2 linked regions of the Canis lupus familiaris genome follow. The protein of the gene in region 1 interacts with the protein of each later gene in a biochemical or structural test. Links are inferred from orthologs where the notes say so. Each region holds a gene or a part of one and is shown on either strand. Other genes may lie near its edges.

The links.
Region 2: the proteins of MMP2 (region 1) and TIMP4 form a complex in vitro, tested with the Homo sapiens proteins (2 studies listed by BioGRID). The link is inferred for Canis lupus familiaris from reciprocal best matches to the Homo sapiens genes MMP2 and TIMP4.

The regions. Positions count from the first base shown.
Region 1 is NC_049223.1:59,767,766-59,776,617, forward strand, and holds the start of MMP2 (72 kDa type IV collagenase), read right to left. Parts: upstream 4,599-8,852; 5' UTR 4,445-4,598; intron 1,487-4,444; 5' UTR 1,412-1,486; coding exon 1,260-1,411; intron 341-1,259; coding exon 192-340; intron 1-191.
Region 2 is NC_049241.1:6,469,488-6,478,483, reverse strand, and holds the start of TIMP4 (metalloproteinase inhibitor 4 precursor), read right to left. Parts: upstream 5,093-8,996; 5' UTR 5,067-5,092; coding exon 4,928-5,066; intron 3,714-4,927; coding exon 3,616-3,713; intron 3,219-3,615; coding exon 3,104-3,218; intron 531-3,103; coding exon 406-530; intron 1-405. Other genes in the region: SYN2 (synapsin-2), read left to right, coding at 7,418-7,480, 7,882-8,024. UniProt on the Homo sapiens protein: Complexes with metalloproteinases (such as collagenases) and irreversibly inactivates them by binding to their catalytic zinc cofactor. Known to act on MMP-1, MMP-2, MMP-3, MMP-7 and MMP-9.

The sequences.
Region 1 (8,852 bases):
GGATGCAGGTGGACCACCTGCTTTCAGGATTACACTGCGTCCAGGATAAACTCACTGTCACATCATCTGCCCCCACATCAATGTGGCTCTCCAGTGTCTACACATCTTCTACTTTCCTGTCTAAGCTCTGCTCAGGACCCCGTGCCCCTCCAATGGCCAGACTGCCTTCTGCTGACCCCTCTTCTGCCTACCCCAGCGGCCAAAGTTGATCATGATGTCAGCCTCTCCATCGTGGATACGAGAAAACCGCAGCGGAGTTACATCACTCCAGACTTGGAAGGCACGAGCAAAGGCATCATCCACTGTCTCAGGGTCCAGATCAGGTGTGTAGCCAATGATCCTGCAGGGGGTGGAGATGCATGTGAGTGTGTCTGGGTGTACAAGGGAACGGGAGTGTGCATATGCACACAAGCATGCAAGTACATGTACAAGTGTGCGTGTGTGACCATGCATGAATGTGTGCAAATGTGCGTGCATGTATGCAGGTATGTAAGTTTGTGCCTAAGCGTGTAAGGGGTGCATAGGTTTCTGCAGGCATGTATGAGTGTGCATGAGTGTGTATGCACAAGCAGGTATACATGTGTGCATGTGGAGCAGAGCTAAGAGAACAGTCCACCCAGAATGCCTTGGGCTTCTGTGAAGTCCTAGACCAGCCCACATCTCCACACCTGGCTCAAGAGTCTCCTTTCTCACCTCCGGCTGGTGGGTGGCAGGGGGGGGGCATGAATAGCGCATTGAAGGCTATGAGACAGAGATCTCACCCTTGGAATCCAACATGAGTCATTCAGAGGGAGCTCTCAGCCCAATTAACAACCGATAATAACAACTCTATAATACCATATAAAACTCAACAACCAATCATCAAATCCCTTCACCCACCCTATGAGCCCCTCTAATAAGGACAGTGACTGGCGTTCCTTACACTCTCACTGTATGCTGGGTGCTAGGATATCCCTTTATATCGGTGACCAAGCTTAGTTTCCAACAAACCTAAGAGGAGGTTGTGTTTTAGCCCCATTTTATAGACGGGAAAGCCAAGGCTCAGAGCACTGCAAGCCAAGCAGCCTGCTGCCCCCAGGCTAGTGTGAGATTCAAGTTCTGGTCTCACTCCAGTTCCTAAGAACTTTGGACTCAACTTCTGAAGATGCCAGGCTGTCACTGGATACACCCTGGGTCCCCACAAAGGAGAAGGCAAGGCCCAAGGACACTCAGTGTCCCCCAGCTCTGGGACCCCACTGCCTGCAGCCCTGCCTCCGCACCTGTATGTGATCTGGTTCTTGTCCCACTTGGGCTTTCGGGGGAAAAAGTTGTAGTTGGCCACATCAGGGTTGCCACAGCGTGGCTTCCGCATGGTTTCGATGGTGCTCTGGTCAAGCTCCCCAGTCTGGGGCAGCCCAAAGAACTTCTGCATTTTCTTCAGTGTGTCCTTTAGCACAAATAGGTTGCATCTCTCTTTGGGGCAGCCGTAGTAGGTGTTCAGGTATTGCTGGAAGAAACAAACAGCCCGAGGCAAGCAGCCATGTTAGGATAACATAATGTTGACCAAAATAGTCAGGAACCTAACGGCACTGGGATAGAATCCCAGGTTCCCAAACCAGCTCTGTCACTCACTGAGTGACCTGAAAGCTGTAACGACACATGGCTGGGGGCACGTGTTGGGAGCTTACTAGATGCCCCTAGAGCAACTCTGTAATGCAGTTACTCTTGCTATCTCCCTCATACAGAGAAAGAAATTAAATCACAGGGGAGGGGGCACCTGGGTGGCTCAGCAGTTGAGTGTCTGCCTTCGTTTGGCTCGGGTCATGATCCCGGGGTCCTGGGATCGAGTCCCTTATCGGGCTCCCCTTAGGGAGCCTGCTTCTCCCTCTGCCTACGTCTCTGCCTCTCTGTGTGTCTCTCATGAATAAATAAATAACATCTTTAAATAAATAAGTAAAGCACAGAGAGGTTGGGAAATTTGCCTATGATCCCCCAGCTCGCAAATGGTAGAGGGTGGATTTGAACCCAAGCAATCTGGCTCTGGAGCCCAGGCTCGGAAGTATAACTCTCTGCCTCTCCTCTTTACCTCCACCATCTCTTTTAATTCACCTAACTGCTGAAGACAGAGGGATTTGGTTTTCTCACTTTCCTTAGAAGGATATTCAAGGCTCATGTACATGGATTCCTGTAGCAGACAGACCTGTGTTCAAATCCTAGAGCTGTAATTTCCAAAAAGAAGATCATCCTGTCCTCATCTGGCTCCGTGCTCGCTGAGGCCTAAACTAAACAGGCCCCTAGGGAGTTTCAGGGACCAACCAGCTCAGGTTTTTGCCTCCCTGCCATGTGCCAGGACCTGTGCCTCAGTACTCGGGAGAGACTGGTGAACATGACAGGTGTTTCTAGTCTCCAGGGTGCAAATCCCAGCGTGGGGAGGTGGATGGACCACAGTCTGTGCAAAATTGGATGTGTGAGGTGTGTTATGTTGGAATGGTGAAAAGAGCCCGGAGACTTTATTACAGAGGCCCTAACCCTGTTTGGGTGGGGGTAGCTAGGAAAGGGAAAGAAAGAGTAAAATAATAGTAACAATGAGAATAATGACCACGGTTATCTCCCATTGAGGCTTTACCATGGGCCAGGGGCCCTTCAAGGTTTCTATGATGGCCTCACCCTTAACTCTGAGACCCCACTCTCATGCTGTTTGCAGAAGCAGCTGAGACTGTGAAATGAAGTCACTTGCCCAAGGACGCTGGCCGCTCATGACGCCCTGATGAGAGGCCAGGCAGCCTAAGCCCAGAGGCTGCCCCTCAAGCCTCCTACTGCATGGCCTTGGGGCAACATGGACTTCTGCATGCTGTTGGAGGTGTGGGGACCCGGGGAGCTCTGTCAGTGTTGCAAAGCCCAGCCCCAGGCAACAGCCACATCATCAGGCATGCCAGCTCCAGATCCTTGAAATGAGTAGCCCCCTAAAAATGTAAGGTCTCTCGGGGCGCCTGGGTGGCTCAGTGGTTGAGCATCTGCCTTCAGCTCAGGGCATGATCCTGGGGTCCCGGGATCAAACCCCGCATCGGGGTCCCCAGAGGGAGCCTGCTTCTCCCTCTGCCTGTGTCTCTGCCTCTCTCTGTGTGTCTCTCATGAATAAATAAATAAAATCTTAAAAAGAAAAAAGACAAGTATGATCTCCCAACCTATTTATCCAGCAGGGACAGAAGCTTATATGCAGGGAGAGGGAGTGGTGGCATCACATTCTGAGAAGGGGTTCCTAGGGTGACCAGGGGGTGCAAAAGTCCTGTCCTGGGCAGGTTGAGGGCCAGGATGAAGGAGAATAGATTTCTGGGGCGTCTGAAGCAGTAAAGAAGCAGATGTCTCGTGGGCTGGGAGGTACCCCTGGAGGCTCCAGGCGCCTACAGGGTGAGAGGAAGCGCCCCTCTGATGCCCCCAGCCCCCTTGAGTAACGCTGCGGCCGGTCCAGGGAGCTCCTGGGCCAGGCGAGCGCGCTGGCAAAACAAGCTCTGAGCCACAGCCCGGAGCCCCGCCAGGAGGGAGGACTGGCTGGCTGCGGTCCCACCAGCACGGGGCTCAGTCCGCCCCCGCCCCCGCCCCACGCGCCGGGGCCCCTCGTGCGCCTGCCCCTCCCGGCGCCTGGCCCGCCAGCCTCTCCCGGGTTCTCCAAGCCTCTGGAGAAGTTCGAGGAAACTTTCCGAGGTGCAACGCTTGACCCTCCGGGCCAACTGTCCATTAAGCCAGGTGGAAAGGATGCGCTCTTTGCTTCCCTCCGGCCCACGAATACTTGCCAAAAGATCCCCTCCAAGGCCTCTCTCCAGATGTGTGCGGAAGGTTCCCTGGCGGTGGCCAAGCTCTGCTTTGCCCTGAGTTCCTATCCGTATGTGTGCCAAAGTGAACCCAAATTGGGCGCCAAAGGACCCTCTTCTCAAAGTCTCACGCGGGATCAAGAGATCCTCCCTTTTCAAGAGACCCCTTTCAGACCGCTGGCCAAAGGCCGAGCAAGACGCCTGCCAAGGGCCAAGGGCCCGTAGCCAACCCCCCAGATGTGTCCAAAAGTTGTTTACAAAGCGGGCCCCCTTGCCAAATCCCCCGGTTACAAGACAATGCCCCTTTATTTACAAAGGAGGTCCCTTCCAGCTGTTGGCCAAAGCATCCCGGCCCTGCCACCGCTGGCTCCTCGCCCACCCTGCGGGTCCTCAAAGTTGCCAAGTTGTTTACCCAAGGCCTTCTCCGATTACCAAGGGGCTGCAAAAGGGATCCCGCCTTCCGCCGGCCAAAGACCACCCCCCACCGAGCGGTTTCCAGAAGCTCCTCCCCACGCCGCGCGCCCACCGCGGGGGGGGCTGTTCCGGAGACCCCCCCACCCCACCCCACCCCCACCCCCACCCCCACCCCACCCCGAGCCTCGGCCTCCGGAGTTTCTCCCAACTCGCCTCCCTCCCGGGGCCGGGCCGCAACTCACCACAGCCAGCTCTTTGTCCGTCTTGGGGGCGACATCTCCGGGGAACTTGATGATGGGCGACGGCGCGGCGGCGGCGCGGCCCAACAGGCAGCCCAGGACGCAGAGCGCCCGCAGCGGGCCGGCCAGCGCGCCCCGGGCCCCGCGCTCCGGGGTCATCGCGCTCCGGGGCCCCGCGCGTCGCCCGGGGGGTCGCTGGCTCGGTGCGTGCGGCCGCGGCGCCTCCTGCCTGGGGCTGCGCTGCGCTCCGAGGGGCCGCGCGACTCGGTGGGCCCGGCTCGCCCGGCTCAGCGGCGCATCCTCCGCCCCGCGCCCCGGCCCGCGCCCCTGCCCGCGCCCCTGCCCGCGCCCCGGCCCGCGCCGCCGCCGCCGCCGCCCGTTGCCGCTTTGTACGGCTCCAGCCCCAGATGCGCAGCCTCCAGCCGCCGCCTGGGGAAGTCTGGATGCAGCGGAAACACGGGATGGGGCGGCCGCCAGATGTGGCCTGCGGGGCTGGGAGGGCGCGGGCGGCGCAGGGAGGGGGCGCGCTCGGCCCGCCCCGCGCCGCCCCGGCCCGGCCCTCCCCCGGCCCTCCCCTCCTCCCCCCCATCCCCTCCTCCCCTCCTCCCCTCCTCCCCCGCCCCGGAGCCCCGCGCCCGGCCTCGGGACCCCCGCCCCCCGCGGGAGACAGCGGGCGCGACCCGCCTGGACCGTGGGCGCCCGAAGTCGGGGAGCAGCGGGGCTGGGAGCGCCGCGGCGGGGGCGAGGGCGAGGGGCCGCGCGGAGACGGGGTCGCCAGCTCCGAAACGGACGGTCAGCGGCGCCGACAGAACTCTGAAGATAAGGACAGAGCGGCGAAGACAGGGGCAGGAAAGGAAAGAGCAAGAGATGTGGCAACAGAGAAGGTGGAGGGTCGCGCCCTCTCCCCTCGTCCTTCCCGCTTCCTTTCCTTCCTTTCTTCCCACTGCAGATATTGGAGCGTTTGCTTGGCGTCCGGCGTGATGCTGGGTGCGAGACGCATACTTGGAAGCACAGGGGTTATGGTCCCTGCCCAAGGGGGATGTCCCCTCCCTCCCTCGGGAAAGACAATTAAGTGCTAAGGAGGAACTCTGGAGGGCTGTGAGAACATCTGTCCTCAGCCCCTAAACTAGTATAGATGGTCAGGGGAGGCCTCCTGGGAGAAGGGACTTCTGAGCTACCACCTACAGAGACACAGGAGTGTTGGGTGGGGGTTGCGGTGGGAAGGACGTTTCAGGCACAGTCTGGGGCACCCTGCGTGCAGAGGTCCAGAGAGGGAAGACCGCAAGCCGCCCTGGAGAAGGGAGTTTCCCTCTATCTAAAAAGGGTGGCGGTGTTGAAGGGCAGGGTCAAGAGATGGGACTGGGATCAGCAGGGACCAATTTGAGGACCAAAGCCGTGGGCTCCGAGGGCCAGGAGCAATCTTCCAGTGAGGGCCTTCAGGGTTCATGGTGACAAGTCTGGACTTTTCTCTTGAGAACCGGAAAAGCCTCGGAAGCTTGGGTCTCAGTGGGCTTCAGACATGTACAGGCTTGCCTGGCAGTGTGCTACGTGCCTGCCAGCACTCAATCTGAAAGGAGGCCTGAGGGAGGGACTTAGCCCCACAGGAGGGAGCCAGGCCCATGGGCCTGACCTGAGCAGAAGCCCTGGCTATCTGAGGGAGGGTGAGGCTGAGGTCAGTGGGGGAGGGGGATTGTTCCTGGCTCTGCCCCCTTGGACACATGTCCATGTCCCGTGGGCAGCCAGAGAGTCAAGCTGCAGAGTGGACAGCTGGGAAGATGGAAAAAGTTGTCTCACAAAAGCCGGGCTTGCAAACTCGTGGCCTGTGGGCTGAATCCAGCCTGGACAGCATTTTGAAACTTGGGAGACTTCATGTAGAAATCTGACTTTCTGGTTTTCTTTCAAAAATGCCCAAAGATCTGGCAATCCTGGGTGCCAATTTTCACATGGCAACCGGTAGCTGGCGATAAATCACAGCTGCCCCGTTTAGATGAGGCGTGGGCTTTGGTTTGCCACAGTCTCCGCTGTTCCCTGTTGCCTCGCATGGGGCTTGGCTCAGTTGTGCTCATAGATATTGCTGGCCCCATTCAGGGTTTAACCGTTTCCCAGAAGGCTTTGTAAGACACTGCAGCCTAAACAACATAGCTTTGGGGCTCCTCTGCAGAGGGCAGCTTTAGCTGAGCAACTTTTTTCTTTTTTTTAAGATTTTATTTATTTGAGAGAGAGAGAGAGAAGGTGCACACAAGTCAGGAGGAGGGGCAGAGGGAGAAGCGGGCTCCTGACTGAGCAGGGAGCTGATGCAAGGCTCGATCCCAGGACCCCAGGATCAGGACCTGAACCGAAGGCAGATGCTTAACCAACCGAGCCACCCAGGCGCCCTGACTGTGACTCTCTACAACATGCATGGCTTTGGCATTCCAGGGCGTCGGTGTCCAGTGTAGGTGCTTGGTGCGCATTTAGAAATGGCATCAGCTGCAGAAGTGAGGGAGGAGTAGCAGTGCCCGGCAGTGACTAGGGGCCCAAGGTGCCTGGAGAGCACAGGCAGTCTAGTGGCAATGGACTTGTGGGTGACCACATGAGATCCCTGTGTATCCCTTTCACCGCCTGCCATTAAGAGCCTGCCGTGGTAATCCCAGTAACCCCATGTGGATGTGGGGGAACCATTAAATGAAAGCAACCAGACAAACTCTTGCATAATAACCACCAAGATCAGGTATTATGTTTGAGACTGCAGCATCTTTTAGCCGGTCTTAATGCCGGTCGTGTAAAGGGGAGAACTGTGCCCCCCCAAAAGGATATGTTCAAATCCTACCCTCTAGTACCTGTAGTAAATGTGTGCTCCCTCAGATATATAGTTGGCTCATGAACATGACCCTTAAACTGTGTGGATCCACCATTGATATGCAGATTTTTTCCCAATAATACAGTGTAGGGCTGTAAATGTATCTTCTCTTCTTTATGATTTTTTTTTTTAAAAAGGGTTTTATTTATTTATCAGAGACACAGAGAGGCAGAGACATAGGCAGAGGAAGAAGTAGGCTCCCTGCAGGGAGCCCTGATGAGGGACTCTATCCCCAGACCCCAGGATCACGCCCTGAGCCCAAGGCAGACACTCAACTGCTGAGCCACCCAGGTGTCCCTCCTTTATGATCTTCTTAATGACATTCCCTTCCGTCAAGCTTACTTATTGTAAGAACATAGCACATAACACATAGAACATCAGAATAGCTTTCATTTGTTGTCTGTGACATCAGTAACGTATCTATATCTGTAGCATCTATGATGACGGTAGCGGTGAGTTCTGTGGGGGGGGGGGGGAGTCACAAGTTGTACTCAGGGTTTTGACTACACGTGCGGTCGTTGTCCCTGCCTGATCCCAGAGCTGTTCATGGGTCAGCTGTAGTCTTTGCAGATGTAATCAGGTTAAAAGTTTAGAATGTCTTGGTCGCATGATAAGGAATGCCAAGAATTGTCAGGAGCCACCAGAAACTGGAAGAGGCGAGGAAGGATTCTTTCTGGAGCCTGCAGAAGGAGCATAGCCCTTGCCAACACCTTGATTTTGGATTTCTAGCCTCCAGGACTGTTCGAGAATAAATTTTGGATGTCTTAAGCCTCCCAGTTTGTGCTGCCTTCTTACAGGAGCCCTAGAAAATTGATACAGGCCACGCTTAGGAGTCACCAGGATGCGGCATGAATTTCTGTAAGCCCTTTATTCATTTAGGAAAACTTTCCTGAGCCCAATTCCAGGTGCTGGGATACCAAGCACCAAGATAAAGGTGGTATTGAGGAAGAAGGAAAACAACAATGTGAGATTCCAAGGCTAGGATGGGCCTGGGGGAGGGGGTGGCCATCTGTGGAATGTGCCTTCCAAACACCCTAACCTCTCTTAGTTTTGGAAGCTGGCCCTTCATTTTTTCTTTGGGGAACTTCTACTCCTTGGCTCTAGGTCTGTGAGGTTCAGTGGACGAGACCTACCTTCTGGCTCCTGGGCCCAGTACCACTGGCTGGGTGATGGTTCAGAGATGGGTTTCTGAGTCCCTCGGAGCTAATGAAAATGAAATCTGAGACTTTCACTGGAGATGTTTGAGATACACTATGTACTATTAAGGAGGTTGGCGTGACGTAAGGGTGGAGGTGCCCTTAAGGACAGAGGCTTCTTGAGATGAAGCTATATCAAAGAAAACAGAAATGGTGACCCTGAGCTCCTGCTGTCAGCAACTGAACTCCTAGATCCAGCTGTGCCTGCAGCTGGAGTATCCTGAGCTTTCTTTTTTTTGTTTGAGCCAGTACGTCTTCTCCATCAAACTTTGTGTTTTGTTTTGCTTTGCTTGAGCCTGTCTGGGTTGAGTGTCCGTCCCTCACCACCGGAGAATTGCTACTGACGCGGTGGAAGACTTAGCCGAGAACCCAGGAC
Region 2 (8,996 bases), on another chromosome or scaffold:
GCAAATCGCTTCACTTCCTATAGCATTAATTTCTTTGCCTTAAAATAGAAATCTGAACTCTTCATAAATTTGTTATAAAGACTAAATTAAATATTTTAAATAGATAGACATTACAGGACCTGGCAAAAAGTAGACTCTCTTTAAATGGTAGCTATATTATCTCATTCTTTATATGATGGCCACCTTCCCAGCCAAAATGTAAGTACTTTGGGATCATGGACTATGGACCATCTTGCTTCCCCATCCCCAACTTCATACAGAGCTTGGTCCATGTATTTGGTTCAAATACAGTACAATACATGAGTAAACACATGCACAAAGGAAGGAATACATGAAAAGTGAGGCTGCAAGGCTCAAGACCCTTCCCTCACCCCCCAAAGACCTTGCCAATGGACATTCCCTTACTTGGCAGCCACAGTTCAGATGGTAGTGATGATTCAGACTTTCTCTCTGCAAAAAGGACAGGTTCTCCCAAGGTTCGATATAGTTGCACAGGTGGATGAAGACTTTTCCATCACTGAGGACCTGACCTTCAAGGGGAATGGAGGAGAACCTAGCATGAGGAATCTGCTTGTGGACCTCCAGGAACCCAGGTCCTCAAAGAGCTCAGAAATGCCGCTTCTTCAATGGCTTCTTGGTGGCATGAAGCTCAATTAAAGAACCAGAAAAAACTCTGTAATTTACATATTAAAGATGTTAACAGATTATGTTCATATGAGAGAGAGTTGTAGGATGAAGGCCTTTAATGTGGTGCAGAGAGCTTTAAAGTCAGACTGTTGGTACAACCCCCTTTCTCTCATTTACAGCTGTATGACCTTCAGAAAGTCACATGACTTCTCAGCTCAAAGATGAAAGTAGTAAGTTGTCGTCAAGATGAAATGAGAGAATGTAAAGTTCCCAGCACAGCTCGGGCCCACAGAAGCTTCCATAAATAATAGGTCCCTTCCTCTTTCCAACCCTTCCCAACATCTACACAGCCTAGTCTCCTGCCTTGTCGATACCTATCCTGGTGAGTCTCTCCCCTTCCCCACAGAAAAGCACGCCTTCTTTACTTATCAAACCCTTTCCTAGCTTCCAAAGACCCTTTTGAGTACCACAGTGTCCTCAAAGCCATCTCTGACCACCCTAGCCCATATCCCTCTTAGAACTTCTGTCACTCATTTATTCACTGAGCAACTGCTATGACTTAGTCCCAGAAATACATATGACGGAATCTCTTTCCAAAGGAGCTTAATAAACAGTAGGGCAGATAGATAAGTAGATAAAAATTATCCTGTTCTATAAGAATGAACAAAGCACAATTATCTCTATCTGTGGAAGGGGTGAGGGGCAAGGAAGGTGTCTCAGAGGAGATGATGCTTGCATTTGGCCTTGAATGGGTGGGTAGGAGTTCACCTGCCAGACAAATGAGGGAAAGGAATTCTGGACATTTGGACTGCCCTGTGCAGGGTGGAGCGGCACAACCCAGCAGAACACCTTCTGCAACTACAAGTAGTTTATTTCAGCTCTGGGGGAAATGAGGGGCTGGGAACTGTCAATCACACATGGCTGGAGACAAAGCTGGAGAGGTCAGCAGTGTTCTGGTCACAAGGACTTTCAACATTAGACAAAAGAGCTTGTGCCTTCTTCTGAAGAGCATGGGCCACTGATGACTTTTCAGAGGACTTGTATTTTGTCATTTATCCCCACCTATCAGTGAGACTTGACACTGAGGACAAAGAACATGTCTTCTCCTCCCCTGAATGCACCACAGTGCCTGGCAGAGAGCTAGCACACAGAGGGAATGAAGTAAGTTTGTCTATTAATCCTGGGACCTGGAGGCCTCAGTGGCATGCCCTTGCCTCTGTCTCTCTCATCCAGAGGCTCCCAGATCAACACAATTCCACATCCTTAGATCTGGGGAGCCTCTACCAGTGTAGCTTCTAATGGCTATGACTTCTCAAGAGCCAAGCCTGGACTGTGAGCTCCTTGAGGACTGTGGCTTGTCATTAAGTCTCTACACTCCTGCCCAAGGCCTGGCAGTGAGTGGGTGGTCGTTATTGCTGAATGGATGGACAGATAGTGGAAATTCCTTCTGTTCTCCTCACCTGCTGTGTTTTTCTTTTTGTTGCCTTCTTTCCAAATATTTTTCTTCTTTTAGGGGCAATTTAGGTCCCATTTACACAGTGAAGTTTTCCTTATTGTTTACAACCACACAGATACCTCTTTTCCCTAAACTATAAAATAATTTAGTATTGTGTTCATTCACTCACAGAGTCATATTCTTGTGTGGTTTCTTAACTACTCTGTCCCAACCAGTTGAGTATGGAGACCTGCCTGGGCCCAGGTTCATAGAGATTTGTTAGAATTGTTAGATTCAAGGCTTCTGTTAAAGACCGTGCTTTACTGTACCCCAGAATATGGTCTTTAATGTGAGTTAGCCAACGAGGCTATGAGCCAAGATCATGACCCAACATAGCAACCTAAAGTTAATGCCATTATAGACTACAGTAACTATAGTATATATGTTGTGGGGCAAGGTTGCACATGCACAATCCTTGTTTGTTCTGTGAAACCAAGGCATCACCTATAGTATACAGTGTCCAGTTTGGGGTCCTGTGTGAGGGTAGGGACAGGGACAGTGTTTATCCCATTTTGAGAAAGTGGCCAGGATAGGAAGGGGTCTGGGAACCATGACCAGCAGGCCTAGAGCTAGAATGCATGTATTTATGGTCCTCAGGCCTGTGAGGGATTATCATAGGCAGAGGGCAGAACTGAATTCACAAGGGGCAGTTTCAGAGTGGCATATTTTTGGCTTAAGATATCAAACTTAACATCAATTAAAATTGTTTGAAAATGGAACCAGCTGCCCTAGGCTGGGAGAGCAGCTTGTCCTTAAAACAGTGAAACAGTGGCCAAGATCACTGTAATAAAGACTCTTCATTGAAAGAAAGGTTACCACAGCTTCTCCCAACTCAGAGGCTGCCTCTTAGTAATACAACTCTGTTTTATGCCCAAGAAAATGCCACCTAGCTCAGCTTGCTGCCCAAGGAGCCCTGGCTCCTTCTTGACTGCTTTGCTTAGGACAGAGACTATTAGGGCCACTTGTTGGTCTTTAACTTACCAGTCAAGAGATATTGCTTCTGGCTGTTAGCTTCCAGTTTCACACCACAGAGGGAGGAATCAAAAGGTGTATAGATATACTGAACATCCTTGACTTTCTCAAACCCTTTAAACATCTGAAAGGCAATTACAAAAAACAATATTTAGTCAGTGAGTATACTTTTTATCTTAACAGGAAAAACTCACTTCTCAATCTAAAAAAAAAAATTTTAAACAAAAGTCTAGTTCAGGATTTGGCACACACAGATGGCCCACCTGGATCATTTCTCTCTTATGAAAAATCTAAACTTTGGTTTATTCCAGTGAGAATACCTCTAGTAGCCTCACGCATAGGCAGCTGTAGGACTAGATGGACCCCTAAGGGCCTGTGGGGCCTCCTCCCTGCCACTTCAGCATCAATACCCCAGGATCAATGAGCCAGGTTGCCTGACCTACCAGCCCCACTCCCAGTACACAGACCCCACTCCTCCCAATAGCCCGAGGGGGTTAATGCCCTGTCCTGTCCCCATGTACCTTTATCTGTTTGATTTCATACCGGATCATTTTTTGAGTGTCAGTAGGATCTGGACTGGCAGGAACTACCTTCTCACTGGATATTTTGGCCCTTATTGCTGCATAAGAAGAGAAAAGAGGGGAACTTCAGCAACCTGTTGAAGCAGTTCCATCTGGCATCTGGATGACCTCAGCCCCCTGAAGAATTTTATGAGGGAATTCTGGGTTTAGGTCTTGTTGGATTGTACGGAGGACCATGTATATAAGAGTGGGGACCTGTAAACTCCTCCTCTGCAGCTGCTGGAAGTTCTAAACCCCTCAGGCCTATTAGGTCTCTTTAGAATATACTTTATATTAAAGTATAATTTCTATACTTTACCTGCATAGCCTAGATTGCAGTGGGTTGGAGGTGGGCATCAGGATAGAAGAAGGAAGAGGAGCCCCTTGAGAATAGTCAGTTTGCAGTCATCTACTTACATAGTCTGAGGCCTCAACAGAGTCCACCCAGACCTGATGTTGGTAAATGTTTATTGAATTAATAAATATGTTCTGACCCTGCACAGAGGTAGTTTATCTCTCGCCATTTGGGCATTAATCAAAAACTGGTTATAAAATTCTTCTCTGTGCCTGGTCTAACACTAGGTAATAGTACTAGTCCATACATATGGTTAGGACAGGGTCTCCCATCCTGCAGAACTCTTGGTCTAGTAGAGAATACATTTACAAAGAATAACAGCACAGTATACTGGCAGTACAAAAATGTTAGGGATACTGTGGTAACACCAAGGAGTCAGGAAGTCTTCAGAGAAGAGATACCTAAATAAGACCTTGATGGATGAATAGAAGTCTGCCAGAAATTTAAAGGTATGGGGGAAGGGCATTCCAGGCAAAGGAAAGGGAAGGGGCAAAGGTGTGTGTATGTTGGGGTGGGGTGCATGGAGTAAACAATTATAGGCTTGGTCACAGTGGGATGTTTATAATGAATGCCCAGTCCCCTGGCCCTTATTTCCCCCTCCCCGCATCCAGTAGTTCAGAATAATCACTGGATAGCTCCTGTGACTTGTTCAGGGACACTCCATAATTGCAGTAGGCAGGGGGCAGGGGTTCATTAAGGGGGTCCCTTACACTTTCATTTCCTTGCAAGTCAGCCAGGCTCTGAGCTTGCAAGGTTGCTATGGCGCCGGCCCTGCCCACCCATCAGCCCCAGTAGGAGGCAACTGGTGCAGTATTTGATCTCCTCCCTTTTCCTTCAGACTCCAGGTCTACAGCTCAGCCCCAGACCAACCCCACACAACCACCCCCTGCTGTGGACCTCTTGGGCCTCCGGACTCACCAAGCGCGGAGTGGCAGACGTGCTGCTGGGGGTGCGCAGGGGCGCAGCTGCACGCCTCACCCATCCCCGGCGGCCGCAGCAGTGCCAGCAGCCGCAGCAACAGCGCCCAGCTCGGCGCGGTCCGGGGGCCCCGGGGCATGACACCGCAAAGCCCCGACTGAGCCTGCGAGGACTGTCAGACCAAACAGACCCTCCAGGGCGCATCCAGAAGCGTCGCGCCCCCCACCCCAGGCTTTTTGAGGTGGACCTAGGAGCAGTCCCGCCCGGATGGGCTCCTCCCTCCTTTGGCAGTAGGCCACCCACGGCTGCAGGACCCACAGCTCTCCTGACTGGCAGGCTCAGTAAAATGAAGAGGGAAGCCAGGAGAGAGGCCTCTGGCCTCTATTTCCCTGCCTGAGCAATTAAGCCTTATAGAAGTAGAGGGAAAGCACTGAGAAAGGATGGTGTCAAGGCAGAAAGAAAGTGAAACAAAGACAAATGCACGAGGGCAGAAAGACCCAGGGCTTGTGATTCACTCTGAAGGAACAAGAGTGAGGAGAGGCACAAACAGAAAGTGAGACAGGCAGAGTCAGAGAGAGGCAGACAGAATTACAACAGGCAAAAGAGACAGTGACAGAGAGGACGGACCTCTTGCTGAGCTGCACACTGGGAATGAGACAAGCTACTCAGGGCTTCTTTCAGCTGCAGGAAGTGTTTTCAATGCCCTATTTATGAGGCTCCAAAGCAACAGCAAACAGTAATGGAATAGGACAGAGAAAGTTGGGGTGTGTGTGTGTGTCTTGGCGCTGTTGGCTGGGGGGTGGGGAGAGATGTCAGAGAAAGCAGCCTGTGCTTTAGAAACCCTTTCCCATATCCAGAGCCTCAGACTCTGCAGATGGCCGAGGACCGTGCTCCTTGCGGGCGTTATCCCATCACCTAAAGCAAACCTGGGACTTCAAAGCCCTCTCCAGACCCTGGATTCTCAGACCACTGATTCTTGTCTCGTGTCATTATTCACTGGAGAAGACTGAGTCTTGTCAAAGAACCAAGGCTCATGGGGTCACTGCAACCAGAGCCTTGTCTGCTCTGTTTGACAGAGCATAGGGCTCCAAGTCTCCAAAGGATAAGAGACCCAGGAGATTATTGTAGGATATTCCCACACAGTGCTGAACTAGAAGGTGGAAGGCTAGGTTCTGATTCTGTCACAAGGTAGCTTTGCAACCTTTGCCTCTCTGGCAACCTCTACCTCACTTTCTTCCCCATTATATAGGCTTGAACTACATGTTTCCAAAGCCCTTTGAAGCTCTTTGCCCCAGCTTCAACTAGTCTCAGCCAGAAATACTGAAATCCTCAGGTTGGGTGTTCCCAGTATCTGTCCACACCCAGAATTCCCATAGGAATCTGACTTTTTATCAGAGTTAACTTTAAGTTTTTCAAAAGATATCTTCCCATTTTGATGTGATAGTGATGTTTGAAAAGAAAAGAATTGAAAGAGAGCTGAGTCTGATTGAGAAGGATGAGATTTGGGGACCAGGTTGATTCCTCATATAACACTCGAACCAAGATAGAGCCTGATGTATTGGATGCATGGGAAAAGGCATCCAGTCCAACCTCTTTGTTTGGCAAATGTGAAGACAAAGTGACTTGTGAGGGAAAGTGACTTGCAGAAAGTTAATGGCAGAGAGGACTAGAGTGCAAATATCCTGACATATGGTATAGTGCTTCTTCCACTCCACCCTAGTACTTCCTCCATCACCACCTTGTAACCACTTGAAATCCTGCCTTTGGAGGATAGTTCTCCTTTTAGGTTTCTATTGTCCTTCTGTTAAAGTATGACTATCCCAAAATAGAGTTTACACTTTTAAGGATGTCTTTCAAATTATAAGCATGCTGAATTCTTAAGTCATTTCTCTTCCAAACCCCAAACTGGGCAGAAAGAGGGCTTAGCATCCTAACGCTGTGTTTGGTGGTGAGTTTGGAGTGTTGGTGAACAGTGAAGACACTGAAAGGAAGGGAAAAGGCCAGGTTCAGAATAGGAAGCTGGACATTTGAAGGGGAAGGGGAGGGTACTAAAAGGTATATGACAAAGGGACATTAAGATTCCAAGATATATTTCTTTTTAAATTCAGGTTTACTAAGATACAATTTATATACAACAGGATTCACCCTTTCAAAGATGCTTTTTTTTTTCTTTTTTTTTTCTAAATTCGCTTTGGTTAAGGACTGATCCTGCCCAGGGTTTGTCTAATGCAGAGATTGAAGCAATGAATTTTGAAGATGTGGAGTACTGAGTGGCAGAACAGGGTTCTTACAGTTCTGCTACTAGTATGCTATGACTTTAGGCAGGTCACTGTCACTCTACAGACCTCAGTTATTTAATTTGTAAACCAAGTAAGTTGGTCTAGTTGTTTAAAGGACCCTTCCAAAGGTGTTACCAAGAAAAATATCTGTAAGATTCCACAGAGATGAGGCACAGTCTGACCAGTTCATTCCTTCCTCCTCTGCTTTCAGCTGACACTGCCCACATTCCCTGTGGTGGTGAAGATTGGCCATGCTCACTCAGGCATGGGCAAGGTAAGGCCATGGTAAGGGTTTGCTATGCTTTGGGGTTGAGGCCAAGAAGGGCACTTTTCAGAGAGCCTTATTATGGATTATTCTGCCTCCTTTCCCCATTTATTCTTTCTAAGGAGATGATTTGGCCTCTCTGAAGCCATGAGTGTTACCCAAACAGACCTCTTCCAACAAGCAGAGTACAGGCCACTCACTTGGGTTCTTGGGCCCTTTACAGCAAGTGTGGCTCCTGAGTTCTAGGAGGGGAAACTAGAGAGGAGGGGTGTCCTAGGGAGATGTGACATCCAGGTTTACATACAGATCGACAACATCGTGATGGGTTTAGAGGCTCAGAGCTCTTGTGACTCTCAGTGTATGTATTGGTATGTCTCCTTTTCTTCCTCTCTGCCTTGCTCCAACATTAGGTCAAAGTGGAAAACCACTACGACTTCCAGGACATTGCTAGTGTGGTGGCTCTCACCCAGACGTATGCCACAGCAGAGCCTTTTATTGACGCCAAGTATGACATCCGGGTCCAGAAGATAGGCAACAACTACAAGGCTTATATGTGAGTGGGGCTGGGGACCCAGCAGATACTCTTCACTTTCTCCTCAGCCCAGTGGAATATCTGAGCCTCCAGATAGCAGCCAACTCTCAGTTTTGCCTCACCTGGACCAAAAGGCAGAGACCAGAGAGAGGGTGCCATTCAAGTCAGGGAATCCTAGCCTGAGTTCCTTTCTAGTCAGAGGAGGTCCCATTAACTAAGATGAGAAATAAAATGAATATTTATTTTATTCATTTATTTCATTATTCATTTATTCACTAGCTTCTAAATGAAATTTGACATCTCTTCAGTTATAAACCACAATAAGCTATTGTAGTAGCAACAGCACAAGTGCCTTTGTTACTAAAGGTAATCACAGAGATTTTTGATTCAAACTACAGTTACGCCAGGTATCTTTAAATACCAGTTATTTTTATCACTACTCAGGAATCATGGTAGTTACTAGAACTGTCACTGCATTTGTACCTGAAAATACTTTTGTTATTTACAAAGAAATATATTGTTCTACTAATTGCAGATTTGTTTAATATTTTGATAATTATTTTAAATAATTGGGTTTCTTTGTTATCTTATGTACTTTATTTTATACATTCACATATCTTATATATTTTTATATATTGAAAGGAATCCATAAGCTTCACCAGGCTTCCAGAACTCAGAAAAGGTTAAGGAACTCCTAAATGAAAATATATAGCCCTGGAAACACTCCACAGCACTAAAAGCCTAGTAGTTATGAGAATAGATGACTTCTCCACCTAACTATGTCCATTTGCCAGAATGGAAAGTTAAGTTTCCTTCATTCGAATTTAGAGAAAGAAAAGATTTAAAGATGACCCAATCTTCTATAACGTACATAAGAATGCAAATAGCTTACAATTCCAATTTTGGAAATGTGAGCCTCTCACTTTGTAAAACCTACAGGGTAGTATTTCCTTTACAAATGAAGAACATTCTAACATACAAATTTGTTTTTGG